Callithrix jacchus: one gene and its partners. The protein of the gene in region 2 purifies or fractionates together with the protein of the main gene of each other region. This does not show direct contact. Links are inferred from orthologs where the notes say so. Each region holds a gene or a part of one and is shown on either strand. Other genes may lie near its edges. The genes, in order: CNOT1, FHL2 and EYA3.

Evidence for each region.
Region 1: the proteins of FHL2 (region 2) and CNOT1 purify together in Homo sapiens (affinity purification with mass spectrometry; 3 studies listed by BioGRID and IntAct, with this or other methods). This does not show direct contact. The link is inferred for Callithrix jacchus from reciprocal best matches to the Homo sapiens genes FHL2 and CNOT1.
Region 3: the proteins of FHL2 (region 2) and EYA3 purify together in Homo sapiens (affinity purification with mass spectrometry; 3 studies listed by BioGRID and IntAct, with this or other methods). This does not show direct contact. The link is inferred for Callithrix jacchus from reciprocal best matches to the Homo sapiens genes FHL2 and EYA3.

Annotation. Positions count from the first base shown.
Region 1 is NC_133521.1:16,396,886-16,400,539, forward strand, and holds part of CNOT1 (CCR4-NOT transcription complex subunit 1), read right to left. Parts: intron 3,514-3,654; coding exon 3,371-3,513; intron 2,845-3,370; coding exon 2,736-2,844; intron 2,639-2,735; coding exon 2,469-2,638; intron 1,542-2,468; coding exon 1,289-1,541; intron 1-1,288.
Region 2 is NC_133515.1:15,441,853-15,445,506, forward strand, and holds part of FHL2 (four and a half LIM domains protein 2), read right to left. Parts: intron 3,101-3,654; coding exon 2,931-3,100; intron 1-2,930. UniProt on the Homo sapiens protein: May function as a molecular transmitter linking various signaling pathways to transcriptional regulation. Negatively regulates the transcriptional repressor E4F1 and may function in cell growth.
Region 3 is NC_133508.1:64,652,788-64,656,120, forward strand, and holds the end of EYA3 (protein phosphatase EYA3), read right to left. Parts: intron 1,485-3,333; coding exon 1,384-1,484; intron 704-1,383; coding exon 596-703; 3' UTR 590-595; downstream 1-589. UniProt on the Homo sapiens protein: Tyrosine phosphatase that specifically dephosphorylates 'Tyr-142' of histone H2AX (H2AXY142ph). 'Tyr-142' phosphorylation of histone H2AX plays a central role in DNA repair and acts as a mark that distinguishes between apoptotic and repair responses to genotoxic stress.

The DNA of each region.
Region 1 (3,654 bases), on a different chromosome or scaffold from region 2:
CATTGGTATCTGAAAAATTAACAGAGAGGGAGGAATAAGGACAGAGTGATGTGATCAAGAAGGAAAGAATTTTCAAAAGGATACGAAGCAGAAAAGTGTAATATACTATCTTTTTGAAGAGAAAGAAGAAATGAAAGCAAACAAGCCAACAGGAAGGGCAGAGACAGGTGCCACATCCATACCCATGAAATAGCAATGGTCACAAAGACCAACGGATTCCAATTTCTTCCTTTCAAATTATAAATCAGACTATAAACATGCAGTAACAGCTTTTCAGTAGGGTATGTTTTGTAATTCCCTGGATTCTTTCAGGGGAGAAATACACTCAGTACAATTTACTGAGTAACATTCATTTTGAACAGTAAATCCAATTTCAAGTAAATTTTTAGAATTCAAGTCAGCCCTTCCACATTCAATTGTCATTAATTTGAAAAGAGACCTAATTTGTCACCTTTCTTTAGCAATATACCTAAATTTTGGGTTCAGTTTGAAGAAATATAATGGTCAATCCGCAGAAATAAGTAGACAACTCACCCTGAAAAAAAATTGCAGCATTCTAATAAAGGAAATTCCAACGTCAATTCAGTTAAAGTACCACTCTTGCCAAGTTATAATTGGGACACATGGACTTATTGGGTCTGATTCCCTCACAGTCGCTGAAAGGAGCCAGTGACAATCAAAAACAGAATGCTAAATGGTACTATGGCTCCCTTTTCCTGTTCATCCTATTCACAAACATTACTGCCAAACCTGATTTTCAGCTAGGAGCTTTATTCTTAAGACTTTAACTCAAAGTCCAATTTGCATTAAATCTAATGAAAAGAAATACTGGAAATTATTGTCCAAAAAAAAAATGTCACTACGTTTAAATAGATATTTAAACTAGAAAATACCTTAAAACACTCGACCATTTCAATAGTTAAGCATTTTGTTTTACTATATCTTTTTTTTTTAATGTGGGCTACTGTGAGAATTTTACATATTTATTAGCCCACAGTCCCATCAGTGCTAGTAAAATTACATTTGGTAGTTTCATTATTCATTATCTGACCCATTGTACTTTGTAGCTGTGACAACTGAAATGGAATATACAGAACCAATAATGGGCAGGAAACGTTGACTTTACTGCTTAGTGATCAACCATGAGAAAACAGACTATAAATTTAACCACATAATGATGACATTTTGTATTTGCATGAGTATGGAAGTAACTGTCTGACAACAGGGATGTAATACTGAGCTTTAATACTGGAGGCATCACACCCTACTTATGTTGAATAAAAAGCACCTTTCTTTCCAAAAGCTCTACCTGTCCAACAAACGCAGAGAAAGCTTTGGTACTGTCGCGGCCAGCTGCTGCTGAATGGTAGAGATTCACCCATTCCCTCAGAAGATACTCTGCCTTCTCCCTCAGGCCCGGAGGGTCATCGTACTCTGAGGCTTGAGAGATCCCAGAATGCATCATAAAGTTTGGGCCTCCATGAGCACGATCAATCATTGCTTCATAGTTGGATCGCACTACTTCCATCAGCTGGGGCAACCTAATACAATGAATCCATGGTGAAAATCAGTCTACTCGTAGTTGTGATTTTACAGACACAGATGGATAATTTACTTATTTAACAGCAACCAAAAGAGTGGTTTACCACTTCACTTTACCACTTCCAAACTGAAGCAAAACTATCCTTCGTCTCTTCTTATCTGCTTATGAGTACATAACATGCAAATGGCTGCCCTCAGTTTAGCTACTTCTTACCCAAAATATATGTTCATTGAAATGTAGCTGATGTTCAGAGTTAATAAATATTCACTGCTTGTCTAGTATGTACCATACTTTCTTTATATTACTTCTCTTGATTTTCAATCATTCTTTGAGAAATTATTTCCTTTTTATATAAGGAACAGATTGCTAGAGCACGGTGGTTCACGTCTGTAATCCCAGCACTCTGGGAAGCCAAGGCGGGTGGATCACGAGTCAAGAGATCAAGACCATCCTGGCCAAGATGGTGAAACCCTGTCTCTTTAGAAAAACTAGCTGGGCATGGTGGCACATGACTGTAGTCTCAGCTACTCAGGAAGCTGAGGCAGGAGAATCACCTGAACCCAGGAAACAGGTTGCAGGGAGCCGAGATTGTACCACTGCACTCCAGCCTGGTGACAAAGTGAGACTGTCCCAAAAAAGAAAAAAAGTTTAAGGGGGGTTAGTCAATTTGCCTAAAATCAGAAAGCTTTTAAGTGGCATGACCAAGGCTTAAACACAGGACTCTGACACTAAGTCTGGTACCATATGTACTGCTCTATGCCAAAAAGGCTTGGCAGTAAATTAAGCTTTTGCCCTTACCAAAGTTACTCACCCACAGCTTGTTGGTAAAGCAGTTATAACAAGTAATGTTAGTAAGTCTGCACATTCATTCCTAAAGATACTAGACTACTAAATGCACGGGGATCTCAAAGCATTTCATCCTCACCCTTCTGGAGCATTGCCTCTGGAATGAGCATTAATCCTCATGAGGGTCTCAATGGTGTGGAACAGATCTGCCTCGGTAACATGGGCAACACTCCTTTCATCCACCAGCAGGATTTTCACCAATTGCATAGCAAATGCCACAGCCATGTAGTTTAAACCATTCTCCATTGACTGGCAACACAGAAAACACAGTTTGAGAGGGAAAACACTTAAGAACAAACATAATTCCCAGAGTCCTTTTGTCTTTGCAAGTAAATTCCTTCCATACCTGCGCTAAATGAAGATCATACTGTTGCATATTAACCAAATGATTGCGAATTAGCAGCTCCACAGCCTCCACATTATATTTATATTCATCCCGACATTCAATTAGGCACCTAGAAAAGGTTCAAATGTCTTTAGTCATCTAATCTTTATACAGTATGGCTATACTGTATAAAATAAAGTACTCATTTTACTCAATGGAAATTTGCTCCAAATTAAGAATGCCTTGAGATTCAACTGCAAATCAGTGTCCAAATTTAAAAACAGCCAGTAATGAACAGAACAGATAGCCCAGGCTTTGCTTTCAAATCCTAGGAAACAGAGGATTCCATTTAAGACATTAAAATACTTATACATGAATACCACGTCTGAGAAATCACTGAAACCTTTTAAAACAATGACCTACAATTTATTCCCCAAAACAAGGTACTGGTTTTTTCTATATCCAACATGAGGAGAAGGTAGAGACCTGATGGAAAATAACTACTTAACAATTCTCACCTCTCAGAAGTAGAAAGTTCAAGTGTCCCTCCCATCTACCTACTAGAAAAAAGGGAAACCCCTGGACATATCTATGTTATCTATGTCGAAAGGCAATCGAAGTCCAACACTCACGACTTTTCCAAGATGACTACTGACCTTGTGATCTGTTTGTTGCACCATGGAGACCCATATGCTCGGCCATCCTGCAGAGCTTTTAGTACCAAGAGGTGGCATTCCCTGTAGCGCAGCAGAAGGTCAGCATCAGCACCACTTGTGGCATCTAGTAAGCCCTCTACAGCCTATGTGAGAAAGAAAGTGTTCAAAACCATGGCAAATACAGTGCTCAGCCCCAACTATCAAGGCCAGAAATCAAATCTCAATGCCCATTACCAAATACCTTCCAAAGCCTCAAGACTGTCCCTTCCACTTTCCAAACATCC
Region 2 (3,654 bases):
CAAAAATTAGCCGGGCATGGTGGCATGTGCCTGTGGTCCCAGATACTCGGGAGGCTGAGGCAGAAGAATCGCTTGAACCCCAGAGGAAGAGGGTGCAGTGAGCAGAGATTGTGCCACTGCACTCCAGCCTGGCAACAGAGCAAGACTCCGTCTCAAAAAAAAAAAAAAAAAAAAGATATTATCTGAATTTTATGAATGAGTAAACTGAGACTCAGAGAAATTAAGTGACTTGCCTAAGAATTCATAGCTGGCAAAGCAGAAGCTAGAATTCTGGACTCCCTTCTATCTTGTATTCCTTTCATTAAACCATAAATCATAGAGCATCTTCCTGTAATTCACCCCACTGCACAAGAGAATGAACACAAAACACGCTTGGTTGCAACGTATCCATGTGGGTGCAGCAGCCTGTGTGTGTAAGACATCTCCTCTGCCTGCAACATACATCCCGAGTCCTCCCTCACTCCGGATTCCATGCTTCCCACCCACATCAGCTAACTCAATGCCTCTCAGCAGAGCATGACTTTCTCAGAGACTCCTTCCCTAAACACCACCCTGGCCCCACACTCCTCAGATGAGTTGAGGTTCTTCCATTCCACACTCTGCTCTTCTCCTCCAAAGCACACTGCTCAGTAACTACTGATGAAATTGACATTGGAGTGTACTTCCACCTTGACTATAGTTAGTGTCTGTGTTTTGTCCAGCATCGGACAAACTGAGAGGGCCATGTTCACATCAAGGAATGGATGCTTTTGGCATGAATGTTCGTATGTGTATTTAATGAACATGTGCACACAGGCATGCATCCCAGAAAGGATGTGTTGCCTTCATTTCTGCAAATGAGTAAAGCACGTGTTGGAAAGATGACAGAATAAGGGCAATTCAAATAAACTTCCATTAGGTCTTGATGAGAAAAATAAAACAAAATAAAAATATAAAGGGAAGAACAGGGAAGAGAGTTCCTAAAATAAAAGCAGGAATGAGAGCTCACTCTAAGAATAAAGGAAAAAACAGGAGTGTGCACCAGTATGGCCAACATGGTGAGACCCCGTCTCTACTAAAAAAGAATACAAAAATTAGCCAGGTGTGGTGGTGGCACCTGCCTGTAATCCCAGCTACTCAGGAGGCTGAGGCAGGAGAATCACTTGAACCCGAGAGGCAGAGGTTGCAGTGAGTTGAGATCATGCCATTGTACTCTAGCCCAGGTGATGGAGTGAAACTGGCTCAAAAAAAGAAAGAAACAGTAGCATAAGAGAAGAGGAAATAAAGAGAAATAAAATTTAAAATAACAGTAGTGAACAAACGGGGCTGGGCACAGTGGCTCACGCCTATAATCCCAGCACTTTGGGAGGCAAAGGTGGGCCAATCACCTGAGGTCAGGAGTTCCAAGACGAACCTGGCCAACATGGTGAAACCTTGTCTCAACTAAAAATACAAAGAAATCAGCTAGGTATGGTGGCGCGCACCTGAAATCCCAGCTACTTGGGAGGCTGAGTCGGGAGAAATTGCTTGAACCAGAGAGGCAGAGGTTGCAGTGAGCCAAGATCATGCCACTGCACTCTAGCCTGGGCGATAGAGTGAGATTCTGTCTTAAAAAAAAAAGAACAAATGGAAACAAACAGAAGGAAACAAGAGAGAAAAGTTGAATGGAAATTTTTAAGAACGCTCAGCACTTAGAAAAGGTGCAGGCAAGGTGAACGTATTCTCGCCCAGGTAGCAATATAGGGGATGTTTCTCCGTAGCCCAGAGGAAAGGGTAAAGGCCCCAAGGGCAAAAACAGTAGAATCTGGGTGAGCAGAGCCGATAAAAGGATGAGAGCAAACAGAGCCTGCAATGAGTTCTAGAGCTGGCACTGCCCAGGGCGAGTGAGCAGTGGGAGGGTGCCACTCCACAGGCTGGCACAAATCCTAGCAGCACAGAGACACTGGAAGCTATAGCATAATCAATGTTGCGTGTCTGTAAGAGCCAGCGGGCACAGCAGAAAACTAAGCTATACCCTAAAGGGTACAGGTGGGGGCAATAGGGCGGGTAGGAGAGAGACGGCTTCCTACAGGTGTGCGGTTCTCTTTCCCTCTTTAACCCAAACAGAGCCATGGCTGGGACCACACATTATAGAGCAGATAGGTTTATTTTTTTTATTTTTTGAGATAAAGTCTCACTCTCTCGCCCAGGTGTGAGTGCAGTGGCGCGATCTCAGCTCACTGCAACGTACCTCCCGGGTTCAAGCAATTCTCCTGCCTCAGCCTCCCAAGTAGCTGGGACTACAGGTGTGTGCCATCATACCTGTCTAAGCTTTTTATTTTTAGTAGAGATGGGGTTTCACTATGTTGCCCAGGCTGGTTTTGAACTCCTAACCTTAGGTGATCCACCAGCCTTGGCCTCCCACAGTTCTGAGATTACAGGCATGAGCCACCATAATATATGGCCAGAGTAGATGCATTTAATAAATCATCTATCCCATATCCATGTGGCCAGACCTTTTCTCCTTTACTTTTCTTCTCACACCATCCCTCTCTCCTCCCTGCTCCCTCCCTTCCTCTCCTCCCTCTTCCTTTCATCTTTCTCTCCCTCTCAAGTTTGCAGTTGTTTTCCTGTTTTATTCATGGAGAGCAGTGAACAAGACAGCTTTGGGATAGTGGCTCCCCTTCCATCTAACATCAGGTCATCAACACGAAAACATATTCAGAAATGGTCTAGAAGAAGTCAGGGTTAAATAACTTGCTCACAGAATGCAACAGTGTTGATGTCTTTGAAAGAAGGATGGGAACACAGACCCAACAAATAAATGCTCAGAATATAAGGCAGGACAGGCACAGCTCTCATGCCATTCAAGTATCACAAGTATCCTTGTTTTTGGAAAGAGAACTGACAGACACGGACTGTGGAGGCAAACTGGCCAGAACATGCAAGGGCCAATGAGGAATCTGAGATACCTTTTTGCACTGAACGCACTGCATGGCGTGTTGTTTCTCATAGCAGGGCACACAGAAATTCTGATTGTCTTTGGGGATGAAACTCTTGGTTCCAATTGGCTGCTGGCAACGGTGACAGATGAAGCAGGTCTCGTGCCAGCTGTTGCCCTTGTACTCCATCTTGCGGGTACCTGTCATCAGGGTCAAGAGGAACAAAGCATAGGTATGGTTAGAGGGGCATGGAGTCCCAGCAATCCACCTTCAGAGCTTGCTGCCATCTAGTTTTGTGACCAGAGCAACTCATTCCAGGTCTTGAAGGCTCCCCTCTGAATGGAGGTAATTCCGTTTTGTACAGGGCAGTGCTGTCTTTTGGTTCACTACTGTACACCTACCCAGCTCCTAGAATAACACATGTACATTTTAGGTACTTAACATTTATTTATTGAATATTGTGGTTAGGAATGTTAAATCTAAAAAAAGTTAAGCCTCTCTCAGCGATGCAAAATATAATGAGAAGTGTGGCATAGCTCCGATGAATTTCTATGGAGTATGAATTTTGAAGTATAGGGACTGTATTCACCTACTGCACACCTGCTAACGAACACCCCATCTGGTTGGCAGCAGGATGGAAATGGCTGGAGTGTGAATGAACCTGGGACCTTGAACCTGATTCAGTGAGCAGCCTCTACAACACTTACTTTACATACTAGCTGTTGAACCAAGTTGTGATGTATCTTGGTAGTTT
Region 3 (3,333 bases), on a different chromosome or scaffold from region 2:
AAGGCATTTTCCAATGGGTATATTCTTTCTTGTTTGTTTGTTTTTTGAGATAGAGTCTTGCCCAGGCTGGAGTGCAGTGGTGTGATCTTGGCTCACTACAACTGCCTCCAGGGTTCAAGCAATTCTTGTGCCTCAGCCTCCAGAGTAGATGGGATTACAGGCGTCTACCACCATGCCTGGCTAATTTTTGTATTTTTAGTAGAGAAGGGGTTTCACCATGTTGGCCAGTTTGGTCTCGAACTCCTGACCTCAAGTGGTCTACCTGCTTTGGTCTCCCCAAGTGCTGGGATTATAGGCGTGCGCTACCATGCTCAGCCTCAATGGGTATATTCTATCGTACATGATTATAGACATTAGTCCGAGAGTTACCACCTCTGCTGATGACTTGAGTTGTTCTTTCTCTCCCCAATACCCTTCTTCAGACCAGGAATCACTGATGCCTACACCCACTAGTGTCCTTCCCAAAGAGGGCAATAAGAAGCACATTAGAATCAAAGCTTCAGTGATATTATATGCAAAAAAATAAAGATCCCTGAATTGCTACATAAAGTGGCAAATGAAAACATGATATAATAATGCCAGCTGATTACCAATCTCATAGTTTATTATAGTTGCTAAGGTTTCTACTTAACTGAATGAAGAGTATCAGGGCAGTTGGTTCTAGCTGGCAACCCAATGCCTCCATGTCTAAGAAACAGAGTTGCTGGAAGAAAATAAATTGGGGTAGGGAGGGAAAGAACTTCTACAGATCCATTTAGCACATGAGGGTACTCAAAGAGGGTAAGTAAACTGCTCAAAGTCACATAGCTGATACACAGATGGGATTTTAGGTTCTACAGCCAAGACTCTTTCATCTATTGTTTCCTGTGTTAAGAAGGGGTGACCTGAAGTTGGGACCTGTAGAGTGGTGGTGTTAACATCAGAACAATCTTTCCAGGGCTCAAAGGCAGGAAGGACTTTCTCTATAGAAACAGCTCTCTATTGATTGCACTATCTGAGAACTTGAAGCATGGTTAGTTCATGCCTAAGAATGATTAGGCTTTTTGCAGTCGAGTCTGATGCTTGAGAAGGCACTGTCTTTGAAGATGAAGATGGAAGATGGGGCACATCTCAGGTTTAATGATGGGATCCCTATAGAAAGGCTTAATGATTTTAAGATTCTTGAGTGGCAGGGAGGAAAAGGAAGGGAAGGATCTAAAAACTTAGAGGAAAAACTCCATCTGGAGAAGAAAAAGACCCTCTTTTTCTTTAAAGAAAAATGAGGAGGGAAGAAAGAGGAGGAAATGCTATAAATGCTAATAGATTGCTAAGATTTTGTAGTTTTTACCATTTTTTTAATGAGTCGGTATACAACCACATAGACATTTTCTTTACCGTGGTTACCTGTTTGGCTGCAATTTCTTCATCTCGTCCATCTCCAATCACTACATAAGTGACTTTCTTTCCAAATCTTGACACAATTCTCTCAAAGCAGCTCTCCTTACCTGATGAGAAAAATTTCCTGTTAGAATACTCTTCTCTTCTTTTCAAATGCTGCTAGGTTCACCTGCCTGTGCTTAGGTGGACTAAGTGACATCCTGTGTAGTTTGCTTGCTGGGGAGTAGGGGTGGGAGCTAGAGATCCAGTAGACCAAAAAATGTGAAGTTGTGTCATTAAAATAACAATTGATTTTAACCTTCACCTTGAAGGTGAAGTCCCTAAGATCTTAGTGTGAGGGAATTTCTATAAATGGGAGGGATTCATAGGTTTAGTGACTTGCCCCTAGATCACAAACAAGTGAGTAGCTAGAACTAGGGACCCCTGACTCCAAATCTAGGCTCTGGTCATTGTGCCATAATAAATGAATGATTTTTGAGGGGCAATGAAATGATTTTAAAATGAATGATTTTAGGGAAGGAAAGAGAAGTGATAGCACAAGGCCCTAATTTCTTGTTAGAAACAATAACAAACAAAAAGCCATTTCCCTCCAATTCTTCATTTCCCAGAAGCAGTTCTGGGTGTGGGTCTTGTGTCTTTGGTGAGGGAAGAGCCCCAGAATAGAACTGAGAAAAGTGGCCAATAAATACGGCAGCGACATTTGTCATATCTGGAACTTTCTTACTTACTATACTTTGTAGTTGTAACCAAGATATTGCACCACTGAAACTGCCCTTGGGAAATAAGTGATTTAAAACTGTTTCTCAGAACTGCAGATGACAGTTTTGAGAAACGTGCCAGTGTACTAAAACTCCAATCCCACCTGAAACCAACACCGAAAACATTCACAGATCGTACTGCTGGGGGAAAGATACTTTATTTGCATAAATAAAAGTATCCCTTGCTCTTTTTATTTCCCTGTTTCTGCCATCTCCTTCAGTTAAGCACAATCCTAACTTTGGCTTTCTTCTTCATCCTGCTCTATTAACCTTCTTGTTCTTTCCTCTTGCCCAACAGAGTGACTTAGCACCAGGGTCCCTGTGTGAATAAGATATAAGTGCCTCTTCCTCAAGACACTTGACTGCCATCTGCTGGAAAATCATTGCAATATGTAAATATGCAAATCTAAGGTAACTATAATTGGCCAGAACCTATACTTCCATACTCAGAAGTCCTACTTGGCACAGGAGAAGTCATGCAGATATGTACCTGCAAATCTCTGACATCCTTACTCCAGCAGCACCTCAAAACAGATGGACTAGTCAACTGGACCAGACACTAGTCCACTCTGGGCTCCATTGGCCACTTATAATATAAGGCTTGACTTAGGTGCACTTGGGTCTCTTTAGTGCTAACATTTTGAATAGACTTGTCATGCCTTACATTCATATAAGACTTCAATCAATGTTTGCTGAGTAAAGTCATATTCATCTCACAAATGATTCAGTGGAGGACTGCAGTCCAGGTCTTATGCCTCAATTCAGTTCAAACATTAAACAGTTCAACTAATAATAAACTCTTACTATGTTCAAGGTATGAAAGAGTTCTTTGTCTAATTTCATTTCAACCATTGCAGCTTTACAAACTAAGCCAACCTCCACCAGATGCACGGCCTACTATGATCTGTCTGTAGCAAACAACTCTTTTTGAGTCAGATTTGACTTTCTTGTAAGACTCAACAAAGGTAGTAACTCATATTTAGAGGATAAGAACACAGACAATTTCATTGTCCTGGCATGCAATGATCAAGGATGAAATATACTCTGTAATGTCTCCTTTAAAAGGATTAAGAGACCAAGAGAGTTATTAACAGCTCAAAGTAAAGAAGCAGCTGCATGAAAACAGGACTCATTCCAACACAGTTGGTAAAATACTTCCATTTATACTCTCAAAACAATTCTGTATATGAGCTTTCCT